2 linked regions of the Nothobranchius furzeri genome follow. The protein of the gene in region 2 binds, or shares a complex with, the protein of the main gene of each other region. Links are inferred from orthologs where the notes say so. Each region holds a gene or a part of one and is shown on either strand. Other genes may lie near its edges.

The links. The genes of interacting proteins can lie anywhere in the genome.
Region 1: med18 (region 2) and med21 share a complex: the UniProt entries of both Homo sapiens proteins name them as parts of the mediator complex. The link is inferred for Nothobranchius furzeri from reciprocal best matches to the Homo sapiens genes MED18 and MED21.

The regions. Positions count from the first base shown.
Region 1 is NC_091741.1:59,845,691-59,852,865, reverse strand, and holds the start of med21 (mediator of RNA polymerase II transcription subunit 21), read right to left. Parts: upstream 4,633-7,175; 5' UTR 4,583-4,632; coding exon 4,541-4,582; intron 4,205-4,540; coding exon 4,090-4,204; intron 1,916-4,089; coding exon 1,815-1,915; intron 328-1,814; coding exon 148-327; 3' UTR 1-147. Other genes in the region: fgfr1op2 (FGFR1 oncogene partner 2 homolog), read left to right, coding at 5,487-5,621, 5,868-5,985, 6,416-6,558, 6,650-6,763. UniProt on the Homo sapiens protein: Component of the Mediator complex, a coactivator involved in the regulated transcription of nearly all RNA polymerase II-dependent genes.
Region 2 is NC_091745.1:72,039,730-72,046,696, reverse strand, and holds med18 (mediator of RNA polymerase II transcription subunit 18), read right to left. Parts: upstream 4,418-6,967; 5' UTR 4,133-4,417; intron 3,808-4,132; 5' UTR 3,791-3,807; coding exon 3,718-3,790; intron 2,944-3,717; coding exon 2,387-2,943; 3' UTR 2,287-2,386; downstream 1-2,286. UniProt on the Homo sapiens protein: Component of the Mediator complex, a coactivator involved in the regulated transcription of nearly all RNA polymerase II-dependent genes.

The DNA.
Region 1 (7,175 bases), on a different chromosome or scaffold from region 2:
AACCCTAATCCTTTACTTTAATGAAAATAAGATGTTTAGTGTCCAGTGTTTGTTTCTTCCATACACATTCAGAGCAGTTCTCAGACCAGAATTTGATGGAAAACTTGAGCCAAACAGGTAAAAATGTCTGTATCTTCACTTCGTGGATCAAGACTCTGCTGGTGATGGCTGGCTGGGAGCTCCATTGCGTGTGCGAAGCTGAGACTGGGCGATGTCAGCCAGGGCGTTCTGGATCTTCTCCAGCAGCATATCACCGCGGTAAACCACCTCCTCTAGACGAGCTGCCGCGTCGTGGTTCTCCTCCTCCAGCTGCCGGAGACTGGCCGCCTGGTAGGATGTCACAGGGGTCCAGATGCATCAAATATGGCAGGTTTAAGTAGACACTGTGAGACTAATTTGCATTTTTTTTAATGGATAATGATCAACCTACTTAAGGGAAGAGATTTTGAAGAATACCAATGCAACTCTGTAATAAAACAAGCCTGCTGCAGAATGCTGCACGACTTTTAACTGGTACAAGGAAGAGAGCACAGCTCTGTCATTTACCTCAGAATGAGCTTTAATGATGTGTAAGACTTCTTAAAATGACATGATTTTATGTTTGATAAGTATGATTTATTCATTTGATCCTTTAACAATTTTATTGAATCTACTGTTGTCCTTTTGCCTTGACGTCCAATTCTTTGGTTTTCATCACTTTGGTCAGTTTTGCTCTTTTAAAAGTACTTTATAAATAAAGTTCACGCTGTTCAGCATAGGGAGAAAAAAAACAATCTTAAACTATAAGGAAAAAGATGTCTAAAAACTAAACAGACAAATCTCACTTAAATGGAAAAATATTTGTATGAAACTTAAACTTACTAATGCCCATGAAGTGCTTTGCCCCAACAATGCTCCTAAATACGCAGCATTTACAGGAATGTTATTAAATAATTCACATAACTGCTCAGAAACTGTTTTTCCAGTCTTTGACATCAGTAAGCTATTTCAGCAGATCCTAGAGCTCTCACGATGGAAAACTAAACTTCTTGTGGCGCCCCCTGCTGCCTGAAAAGCAAGCTCAGTGCTCTTCACACAATAACCAGAACTAAGTCTTCAGCTACTAGTAAACTACCATGTGAAGAAGTGTGATGATAATAAGCCTAGCAGCTGAAACATTTCCCACAAATGCCAACGCACACCATCCTGTCCTTGTCTGTTTCTGACACTGGACAAAACCCTCTGCTGTGAAGCACTGGTGTGCACAAGTCACCACAGGAAAAGGCCTGGAAGTGCCACTGCCTGCTGTGAAAACATCTGATGCAGAATTTTTCAGCTGCCATCTTCACTGTTAAATTATTTGGTCTTTTTCAAAACAATGTCCTAAGGCATGTCAAGCAGAATGTTTAACTTCAGAATGCTTCATCTCTCTTGAGTTACAAAAATTCAAAACAATTTTTGAAAGGGTCATTTGATCTCGATACTAAACAAAAAGTTATGTTAAAATACAAAATAAATAAATCTGAAACTCTAAAAATGATGGTTAGTGTTTTTAACGGCCATAACATTAAAAAGCTGTAACACTCTGGGTCAACAAAATAAAATAAATGTGTTTCTTATGAACATGAACAATAATACTGGGTCTCTTCTTTTTAAAATAGATCAAAGTGAAGCCATTATTTCAGTAAAACTTCTTAAACTCAAAGAGTCGGTATCTCTTAGAGACCAATCCTTGTGATTTTAGTAGAAGTCTGAATGATTTCCTTCAGCATAAATGCAGGCAGATCTGAAGCTCCTACTGGAAGCAAGAGTGAAGTGAGTGCGAGCGTGCCGACCTGCAGGGCTGCTGTGGACTCTTCACTGGGCAGAGAGTCGATCAGTACATCTACATCTTTGGCTGTTCTGGCAATAAGAGCGGCAAATAGCCGTGCATATTCTAGAGGAGAGGGAAAACACACATGAGGGAATGCAATGAGCGTTAGTGCCATTGCTGCAACTAAACAAGTAGGTACAGTCGACATAATAGTTCCAAATGACAAGAAAAGTCTAAATATTCCCCCCAGAATAAAGGCTACATCCCAAGAATGAGTCAATATGTCGAGACAAACGTCAACAGTATTTTAAAAATTCAAGATTACAGTCATAATGTCGATGACAAAGTCAGCTTGTTTCTTCCAGGATGAAGAAAAAAAAGTTTAAAGGTTAAGAATCAACACTTAACTATTTCTAGAACATTGAGAAAAGACAAGAGACAAAAGTAGAAACCATCTTTAAATAGTGGGGAACAAATTCTAAACATCTATAATTACGTCTAAATACTGAGGAAAAATATTACAATTTAATTTGAAAAATATCAAAATATAACTTCCAAAAAAGAAAACAAACCCTGTTGTGCCCCTGAATCAGACTGCATTTGTTCCAGTTTTATCATCATTGTAACCGACGGTTACAGGAATGTTTTACCCAGTAAACTATTCAATAAAATAACTATTTGGTTAAAGGGACGTTATGGAAGTTTGACAGCCAAAACATGTATAGAAATAATAAATTTCTTCTTCATACATTCTCCTGCAATGCCCTGGTCCTGTAGAATGAGCCCTGGCATTTTTACTGTGATTGCCTGTTTTTCTGTAAAATCACAGAAAAAGAGAGCTGCTCGGGTCGAGCAGGCTGCTTCATCCGTGTTCACGCTCAGGCATAGCCCTCCAAACTGTTCTTTGAACGTTGTTTCAGCTGTCATCAAGGATATAAATGTTACAGACACAAGGAACGTCACTGGCGCTTTAGCTCGCCTTGTAAGACGACGGACTTTCGTGCAGAAGACTCGAGTTCGAATCTGGATGTACATTACATTAATGGTATATTTTTTTGCAGTAAGATGCCCAAATTTTTATTTGACACTTGCCGAACGGCATTGAATTCACAGATAAAAAAGATGTGGGTTCAACTTTCATTTTGGAACAATTTTTCAAGCAAGGGAAGGGAATGATCTGAGCATGCAGGAGGACTGACCCATCTTAAACCTTTGTCGGCTGTGCTGAAGAGAAAGGTACAGAACCAAATTATTTAATTAGCTGCACCTTCTCCTGTCCTCTGTCCTCCGGGCCACACACACAAGGGACTGTCTCAGCTGTTATTTTCGTAAAGGAGTGTGCACGTACAGCATGCGCGCCTCGTGCACGAGCCTACTATTGAAGCTGCCATTACACTTTTGGCCTGAGGGGGCAATCGCTAGCATAAAAATTCAAAACTCCGTAAAGTCCCTTTAAATATCAGGTTTTAACTCCTTTTGTTAAAGCAGAACTCGGAGATCTTCAGTCTTTCACAATAAGGGTCTTCAGCAAACACGTCCCTTTAGTTAAAAGGGAACAACACTTCCTGTAACAAAATAAATCCCTTCTGGATTTAACAAGGCAAATAGGTTGTATAACCTCAAGATGGCAATTCCACAATTCATCAGGATCAAACCATGAAAGAGATCAGGGCATATCGATGCAGACCCAATGAGCACCAATGACAATCTTTGCGATGACAATTGTTAAAACTGTTTGATTGTTCAACATCTCTACAGGATCCTCATTAAAAAATGAATGCAACTCAGGATGGGAATAATTCTTTTGACATTGCAGAAGCAATCAAAGTGAAGGGCAGTCCAACTAAATATTACAAAGTGACACTTTTGGGGATGGGCAGGGTACAGTTGAGATTCAGTTCTTCAGGCTATTTTGGAAATGGTAACACTTTTTTTCCTAGACGTTTTGACAATTTTCTTTAAAATTTCAACATTTTTCTTGACGTTTTAACTTTATCCTGGAAATAGTATTTCACTTGTTGACTAGCATTTTTACTTTTATACAATTAAACCCCGAAACCCCTTTTTGAAACAATTTATTAAATTGTGGCTTCTTCGAATAGGAAAATAAATAACCCATGAGAGTTTGGTAGTGATTTTTCCACCAGGCATGTGAGCATGTTTGGCCTGCCAGACTCGTCCTCTGTTTAATTCTACACAGAGAACTAATGCTTCCCATAAGGATGCATGACTGGTCAGGCTAGCTGAATGTGGGAGAAAAGAGATTTAAATAAAGATTTTGCTTTGAAGTTACAAACCTTCGGCTGAATTTCCTGGCTGATCCTTGTTGATTGCTGTCTGAATATTACTGAAGGAAGCAGGTGGAGCACATTGTTGCAGAACACCGATGGCATCACAGAACTGATCAGCCAGCTGTTCACACGCAACAAAACAAACACGGGTTTTAAAACTCCGGACATTTGTTTAAAAGAATATAGAATAGATAAACAGCCAGTATAGTCTGATAGTTGCATTACCAGTTAAACCAAGCCATGTTCATTGGTTAAAACATAAAAGCTGTGATAAATTGTGTAAATTAACTAAACCTTAGACTCGCAAGTTAGCGATTAGCTACATTTAAAAGACTGAAACGATAATTCTGCAAATATTTCTTATCTAAATCCATTTGTTGTAATTGTGTAAGATAAAAAAATAACTATTGACGTAGAAAATAATTATATTTCGGGATATTTCAATAGTTTTGCTTACAGAATTGACAGCGTCTTGAAGTTGCGTTAGCCTATCCGCCATGTTGCCGTAAATAAAATAAAAAACTCCCCAACGTGACCCTCGCGAGAGTTTAACGTCTCGCGGAAATAAACAAGAGGCTTCGAGTTAGCTGAAGCGATGGCTGTGACCGTCCCACGGCTGGTTTTTTGTAATGTGGATAGGTTTTAAATCGACTTTTTCATGACTAGCGATATTTACTCTCGTGCTTTAAGGAAATGGGAACGCGCCAAAGCATCTAATCCGGAGTAAACGTCAGCTTTTAGCCAGTGTTAGCCACCAAACAACAACAGGAAGTAAAGAAGCTAACTCAACCCAAGTGGTTTTGTACTTTGAACTCTTCAGGTATGACCACACATTTGTCAGTTTTGCTGCCTTTTGTGGACCTTACAAGTTTAGTTATAGCAGCCGGTTGGTGTTATGAACTCCTCGGTAGTTTATATTTGATTAATGAAGTGTTGTGGTGATAAATTGTGTCAGTAAATGCAAAATATGTTAAGTAATAAAACTCTTATTAGAGTAAAATGACCTATCAATGCATTATTGGCTGTAAACTAGCGTGCTATCACCTACGAGGAGGCTTAAGGTTCAAGCTAGGTTCTTTAGCTTTAGAAACGTTTATTCATGGCTCATTTCGATCGTTCTGGTGAATTATTATTATTTTACAGAGTGTGGTGAAGTGAAAGTTCATGTATTTTCGTGTGGCTGTCTGTAAAAAGATTCTGAACAACTAATATAGAAGTAGACAGATCTTTGAATGAGCTGAGTTTGAAGAAATAAAGATTAGTACTTACTGGACTGATTTGTTTGCATGTATTCGTAGTGTATTGCATTAATTATATTTATTTTCAATAAATTGATACCAACAAGTCAGAGCTGTTGAATAATCAAAAATAAGTTGTTTTTATGCTTCTGTATTTCCTTAGGTATGAATTGTAGTTTAGAGAAGGTCTTGGCAGATGCCAAATCATTAGTGGAAAGGCTTCGTAACCACGACAATGCCGCTGAGATGCTAATTGAACAGACAACATCTCTCAACAAGAGAGTGGAGGCTATAAAAACGGTATGTGATTTTTTTTTTTCCTATTTTATGTGCTGTTGGGTACTAGCTTAGTGCCACCAGGGGTCACATTTTACTAATTCTATAACTGAACACTCTATAATGCAAAAGAAGAAAGTAAAGTGCATTCCAAAGAATGATGGAATATTTTAACCGTAGCGTTGACTGCTGTTTAGTTTACAGGACATAACTACTGAGGGCGAAGCTTTTTATTGATTCGTTATTTATTTATTTTTTCACATTTGACAGTACCAGGAAGAGATTGATGCACTGAACCAGGTTGCGCGACATCGGCCTCGTTCCAGTCTGGTTCTGGGAATCCAACAAGAGAACCGTCAGATCAGAGAACTCCAGCAGGAAAACAAAGGTAGTCTTTCAGTGTTAATACTCATGGTGATTGCTTCCTGTTCGGTACAATACATTCCTTTACTTTTGTCAAATCACACTGCTTACAAACACTGAAATGTTTTTGGGCAGAAAAAATGTTTTTTACAAATATCCAGAGACATCATTAAGGTAAAATTTATTTACATAGACATATACAGATCGACTAGAGTTATTTAAAATCCTTACAAAATATTTTTCACTGCATTTCCCTATTCATTTGTTCAGTAATTAGTAGTCACTTACTTAGCTTGCTGCCATGGTCCAATTAAGAGTGAATAATTAGCCTACTTACCTTTTTATACCATTACTAAAATGTCTTCCTCGTACCACTAGAGGGAGCTCTCATACCATGATTTGAGAATGACTTTGTCATAGTTAGCCAACCAAACATGCGTTCTCTCTTTCTGCAGAGCTCCGAACATCTTTGGAGGAACACCAGTCTGCGATAGAGCTCATCATGACTAAATACAGGGAGCAGGTGTTCAGGCTCCTAATGGCGAGCAAGAGGGATGACCCCGCCATCGTCACTCAGCTGAAGGAGCAGCACACCACGGTCAGCAACTCGGGTTTCCTTTGTTCTTCTAATTCATATTTTAATAACTGTAATGTAAAATCTTCTAATCATTTTTTGTTGATCTGTGCAGGAAATGCAAGCGCACATAGACAAAATCAACGAGATGGCATCTGTGATGAGGAAAGCTATAAAGGTGGATGAGGACCGAATATGTGAAGACGAGGAGAGGATTAAACAGTTAGAGGTAAAGACGAATAAGGAGTTGCTGCATCATCCCTGTAAATGTTCTGAATTCTGATGCAGGAAAACATGTTTGACATGAATGAAACAAGGGAGAGTTTAGCTATTTAAATGATTCATGAGTCATCTTACACAGGTAAGCAATATCATTTAAGACTAACTCATTTGGATCAAAGCATCTGCCATAGTGGGTTAAACTATGAATCAGTACATTTGGGACCGGTTTTCCCACTGGTTCATTCAGTTTGTTATAACTGAGAGTAACGTTCTGACAAACGGGTCATGTAGTTAAGTGATCTAAACAATAAGAAGCTACAGAGAAAATAAAATCATGAAAGAAATCAGTTTAAACACAATGTTAATGGAAATAAGAAAGTAGAGAACAGGCATTATGTTTGTGGTTTAAACATGAGAGT
Region 2 (6,967 bases):
TCAGTGATTCTTGAGCCACAAACTTGAGCAACTTCATACTGAACATCGTCTTACAATCAAGTTGACTCTGATCTGTAGCGGTCTTCTTACCACTTAACAGTTTAGTGATTCTGATAGGTACACTAGTGGGAGGTCTCAACCTGCTTTATAATAATAGCCATTTACTGAGCTGGTAGCTAATATAAAGGCTAGCAGCTAGCTTTTTCAGTTTGTCAGGAAGCAGTAAGAAGAGTTTTGCTTCTTCCTTTTTGTTCCCATCATGGCAGAGCCTGGCAGTAAACGTAAGAGACTAATGGGTGGAGGTGAAGCAAAGAGCTAAGTCCAGAGTGATCATAAACGCGGCCTACACTTGTTTGAGCTAGCTAGCAGGGATTTACATCGTGGTCAGCTGACCTTCCACAAGTGTCAATCTGTTGATTCACACATGCATTTTTTTAAATAAAGGCTATGAAACCACGGACTGATGATGACCTAACTTTGTTGTGACTGGGCTTGTAAGACACTTTTTTTGTCCAACAATCTTTTTACGTCGTAGCTTATTTAGTATCAGTTGGTTTGTGTTAACGTTAGCTTGTTGTTATCACTAGCTACAGCAGGCTGCAGCAGGGTTGTTTACGGCAGCTGTAATTCTGCTTTCAACCAGTAGGAAGGAGAAACGGGAAAAATTATCCACTGTTGCTTTAAGTGCATTTTATTTTGCACATGTTCTGAGAAATGAAAAGTTGACTTTGCTGGTTCCACTAAACCTAGTTGCTTAATTGTAAAGAGCAACATACATGTACTTTTATTTACATAAATTTAACATTTCATTTCTTAGAGTGTAGTAGCTCTAACACATACTTATTCATGTGGACTTATTATTTTAAGTGTATGTATTGCCAAGCTAATCCTGTTCAACCTTAAGGAAGGTTTCTCCTGATTTCTTCTCTGCAGCACACCAAATTGTCTTCAGCAGAGCTGAGTCTTTCACTTGGGTTAGTCAGTGGTTGGCAACATCCACAAAGCCAAGCAGGCTTGATGCCAAGACACTGATTAGCCTAGCTATGCCTGCGCTCTCCAGGCATCGCAGAGTGGAGGTGTAGTGGGACTCCAGCTCATCACCACAGAGCACTGTGCTAAACACAACTTTTAAGTGGAAGAAAGCCAGTAGACTGTAGCGTATCCATGCTGGACACATAAAGCCTTAGGCAAGGAGGCATCTGCCTCTTTAATACATAATTCACTCAGAGCTGAAACATCATGCTTTAGTCCTAAGGGCCAGTAGTTTGCTTCTGGTTGTTGGAACATAAATCTGTCTCCATCAGATAGCCCAGACTCACAGAGAGGAAACTTTGTCTAACAAGTGGGCAAACCTAAAATTAGATGCAATCACGCACAGATCCAGTTTGTGATCAAAAATAAACAAAATCTCCAGAAACGTTGTTTAAAAGCGATGCTCAATGTGCAAAGAAAAAAAAACATGCGGAAACTATGTCACCTCACCTTTCCACCTCAGTGAGCTCGTCCTCATCAGCCTTGATATGCAGGTAGGTCAACATGCAGAGACAGCCATCGGCCCTGGAGCTCTCCTCTCAGACATGCACATGGTCACTTTAGATTTCAACTCCAGCAAATGCATCTTCCTGCAAGGGTATTATTAGAAGCACTCATGTCTTTTTTGCCAACATTATTATCATAACTGACAGGATGTGCATTAGTTACTTCCATCTCTGCAGGCAATTGGCCATAATGTTGACACACTAGTATACAGCCCTCTTTTTTTTCTTCTTCCAATTTCATCGTGAACAGTTAAGGACCCAAGGCAGCTGTGGAGCTTTCATGTGTAATGGTTCCAGTTCAATTTCCCATGAAAAAGGGGCACTAATGGGTTAACAGTGGAAACGAGAGGGGCAGGGAGCGAAAATCAATGCTTTTGTTGAGGGAAAGAAAGGAAGGCTTTCACAGGTCTATGTATCATTAAGCAATTGAGAAAGCTAATTAGAATGAGGTAAAAGATGTGCAGATCTCGCAGCTAATTATTTCCATGGCAACCACAGCTCCAGTAGATGATGAGAGGTAGCATTCAATTTGTTCCAATCAAGGCAAAGACAAGAGAAAGAGAGACCCCTAGTGGACGGAAAGAAAAACGTCCACAGCAAAAACCACCTCTTATTCAGTAAAGCATTAAAAGGTTCTTTGAATAAATAGCTTTAGCTGTTAATACACTATAATTTTCATCAACATGAGGAATAAATGAAGCATTTTTTAGATAGTGAAACAAATTCAAAAACAAATAAAACTCTCGAATAAAAGTTGAGCAGTATTTTATTTTCTATTAAGATAAAAAACAAACAATTAAACAAAAGTAGCTACATTAAATGAGTCCATGTTAGTCTGAATTCTACTTCTAATGTCTCTGCTTGCTTGGGTCAATCTTCTCCAGGTGAATCAGAGGTTTCAGTTGCTCTGCAAAGCTGCGCATGTCCTCTGAAACCGTGTCCTGGCCAGCAGGGGCCAACACGCTCAGTTCAACTAGGTGCGAATTTGACATTCGCTCTGTGTTTTCCGTGTTTCCTGGTAGCTGGACCCGAGAAACGTTGCAAACCACCACTTTCATAGCTCCTTTGCGAAATATGTGGCCGCTGGTGACAAATTCGTGGTCCATGCGGAAGCCCATCTCGTTCAGGAACTCTGGAAGGCTGTGAGAGGCAGCCACGTCAACGCAGTTGCGTACCAAGGCGTAGCGGTTTTTGTCTCCCACTTCAGGTTGGCCGAGATAACGCAGATGCCATGGAGCATTTGGGTGGGAGAGGGCGCGCCGGGCACGCAGGATAAAAGGATTTCCCTGCTGGCCTTTCAGAAGGTACACCAGCTCATGGTCTGTGAAAGTCTCGGGTTCCATGTTGTCACACAGACCACGGAGGCGATGCAGCAGGCTTTCCAGAGCCAGATCTAACACGCTGCCTGGATTCAACAAAAACAAAGAAAATAATGCTTCATTGAAGGAAAAATAACAGCAATCATTTTCTAACATGAATAATTCAAAAATAAAACAAACATCTTATGTCACTCAAACTTTATCTGAAACAGTAAAGGTATAAAACATGTATTCTATAATCAGTCTTCATCAGAATATGTTTTTCATGTAACACGTTTCCTTAAACTGTCAGATTAGAGGTTAATCCAGCTTTTGAGGACTTTTTCCACAGTTATGCTTTCATGGAAGCAGAAACAAGATTCTGAGATTTTACAAATTAGTAAAAATAAAATGACTAATAACTGATAGTTTCAGTTTATGGTAGAAGATCTTTTAAATCTTAGTTATCACCTACAAATATGTGTTCCTTATGCTGTACATCTTTGGAAACCCAATTTAGTATTTTTATTTTGTTGCTCTTAGTGGTTTGAAGGTTACAATAATAGCTTACTGCCGTTGTGTATGTACCTGCACTTTTGTTTTTATTTTTTTCTTCTTCCTTTTCTCTAAGCGTATGTTCTGCTCTAGAGTGAATGTCCCCCCTGGGATTAATAGCCTATTCAATTCAATTTAGATTTTTCCCCATTAACAGTCATCCATCTTTCATTGTTGACATAATAGCTGATATAAAATACTACATATGGCCACTAATGCAAAACTGACAATTGTATAAAACGTTGAAATGTCTGAAAAGTAATTTTTCTTGTGTACTTAAAAAGCACTCAGGGAGACTATTTTTATTTTGTATCTCACTAACTCACCTTGTAACAAATATTCCATCATATTAATCGTCCCACCGGTCACAGGCATCACGGTAACAGGAGGGGCCTCCATCTTTTCTCAGGTATCTGCTTTTGTCCCAATTTAAAAAGAAAAGCAGTCAGTAAGCTTAGCTCAACATGCTAATAAATAGCTAAATATTTCACTTTAAGAAAAAGGTCGAGGTGGTTCTAAACTTATTTTAATCAACACTTTGCATGCTGGCTCACTGTTACTTGATAATATGCAGAGCTTAATGTAAATAGCTACTTATGATGTTAACTTGTTCGTTATGCTAGCTAATAGTTAAAAGGCTAAATTATGTTGCTAAGCTAAATCATTCATACAGTTTGCGACTCCCCCAAAAAGTCTACTTTTACATGAAAAATAGCCATAAAGCAGAATGCTACTCCGTACCTGTTAAGGTAAACCAGAATAAATGTTGGCGTAATGGTTTGTTAAAGACCCGGTAAGCCTCTTCCGGTTAGCATGTAGCGTTAGCTAACCGCTAGTTCGCCAAGTTTTTACGTCAGCAACATACAAATGAGTCACTCCAGCTGTTCAAGTAAAAAATGGAGGAAACGTAGTCAAAATAAAACCACCCACGCATGTGGAGATTAGACAAAACATTCAATATGCATCAAAAATACGAGAGCATCTTTCTTTGGCTTGTTTTTGAAGCGCGTTACAACCGCTATGATAACACTCTGCTGCCACCTACTGGAGAATGACGGTTTTACAACATCTATGTCTAAAAACTACGGTGCACAAACGAAATGACAGGATCTTCGCATTAATATTCCACATTTCCTGAAATAAAAATAGAAATGAAGTTCATTCTGCAACTGCAGAAAGTAAATTAATGATCCAACAGTTTATAAATAATCATGAAAAAATAATCAGTCCAGTCACAACTAATCTGTTTCTCTATTATGATTTTATTCAGTTGTCTTCATCAGATCATATTTTAATCGCTTATAACTCTTTCTCAGAACGTCATTTTAAAATATCGGAACAGTTTCTTAAAAATAAATTCACTTCATTGTCTTTGGAAATTTTTAAACATTTAAAATTTAAATTGTATTATTTTATTCATAAATTCAAAATCTGCAAAATGAGAAATGTATCCACATTTCAGCAATATATCGTAACATATTATGGAAGAGTATGTATAAAATAAAATATATTTTAAATGTAGAAATTTATTTATTTATTTATTTATTTATTTATTTATTTATTTTGGGCAAAAATTGAGAAATTTTAGATTTTACCTCCACAACCCTGTGGGAGTAATAATTATACATACAATCATATTAGAAGTTGTTGACAAATTGATCACTAAATCAGAGGACAGTGTGGAAACTACAATCACTAACTCTTCAGTTTAGCTTTCATCTCTGCCAGGTGTGTTTCTACTACACTTTTATTTCACCATAAATGCAGTCAGTTTCACATGCATATCTATGTCTTCTTGCGGGAGGTGCCTTGATGACAAGAGAAGAATAAATAACAGTCGGGTTTTCTTCTTCTTCCTGCAGCATAAAACAAGACATTAATTACCTTAGCAAAACATCACATGTGGTATTTCATACATACACTTTATAATACTCATCATACCTTGCTGCCAAATCCGCAACAAGAGCTGTGAAACGGAAATGCTGAGGAGAGACAGAAAGAGAATCAGGTTGAAGGGCAAACCACTGTGCATGATTAAAATCTATATGTAAATTACAAAAAACAGGAAGTCTCAACGAAAACCTACAGCTGCAAATCCTACCTGCTTGCAGTCTTGATTTGAAGCAAAAAATCACGAGTGCTGTTACAGCTAGACATGCCGCAGTGATTGATACTCCATAAATGGCTGGAAACGTGTTTTCAGTCTCCTCAGATTCACCTGTAGAGTCAACAATATGTTTATTTTAATTGTTTAATTTTAATTTAGAATTTAAAAAAGAGGGTCGCGGCATTCACTCGCCTGCTGATGTGTTTAAAACTGCTGATGCTGATGTGTAAGTGCTGGTAACAGTCGTGCTATTGTCCAAAATCTGACCTGCCGTACAAACGAAAACCCCAGATGGAGCTACGTCCACTGATATTATCGTATTGTCCACCTGAAGCCTTGAAGTCTCTTTTCTAGTTTCAGAATCCACATCACACGTCACGAAACAAGACAGAGAGGAGTCCTCACGGTGGTGTACTACTGCCACAAAACAAACAAATATGTATATTTTAACATAAATCTTGTTTATTTTTCACAAATGAAGCAGATTACTGTGAGTTTCTTACCTTCTACCACACATAAGCTAACAGTAAGCTGTTTTTGACTCGGACCGCCACAGCGACTCGCCCAGCAGGTGTATTTCCCAACATCTGCAGCTTTAACATTAACAACATTAACGGTTGTTTCTGGAATCTGTTTGGATTCTTGGGCAGTTTTGTTGCTTGCTTCAAAAGTCCATTTTAGCTCCAGAAAACCCCCCGGACATGTGTGCATGAAGCTGCTGCCTGCAGTGATGTATGATGTCTCTTGAATTTCTTTCAGAGTTTCTAGAAGGACAATAAAAATATCAGAAATTGAAATAGAAATATGCGAAGGAATGAATAGATTTGTGAAAAGAACAGTCGTTCCAACCTTTTTGCACTCTGTAGATGTCCGACTGATCACTTCCGCATTTGTTTTTGTCACACTTTTCACACCAGTACATGCCCTGATCTTTCTCCTTAAAATCATCAATGATCAAGGAGCCATCATTTGAAACAGTGGCTCTGCGGTTAGAGGCATACAGTGTCAATCCTGTCTTATCTAGAAAGTATAATTGGGCTGCACGACTATGTTCATTCTCCTTGTAAACCCATCTAAAAGAATCCCACCGGGTGCCGACACGTTGACATGGTATCAGAACTCGACATCCCAGCCACACGTCGAGCTGATTTGTAGCTGTTAAAATAAAAAAATTTTTAGTTATTCACAAGCTTCTCTGGGAATTTTAAATATTAAATTGATTAGGTTGGTTACTTACCTGTTTTAGAGGAAATGCACTGATTCCATGTCATTAATAAAAACATCAACTTACAGTACTTTTGAATCGTAGCTGATGCGATCATTTGTATTTTTCAAAAAGACCATAAAAAGGTCTGTTTGAGATAAAAAAAAATTATTTTCAAAAGAGAAATGGCCAAGAATGTATATCTCAGTAAAACAGAAGCTACACTGAGCACAACAAAAAGACTCCCTTTGTGGTTATGCCATCA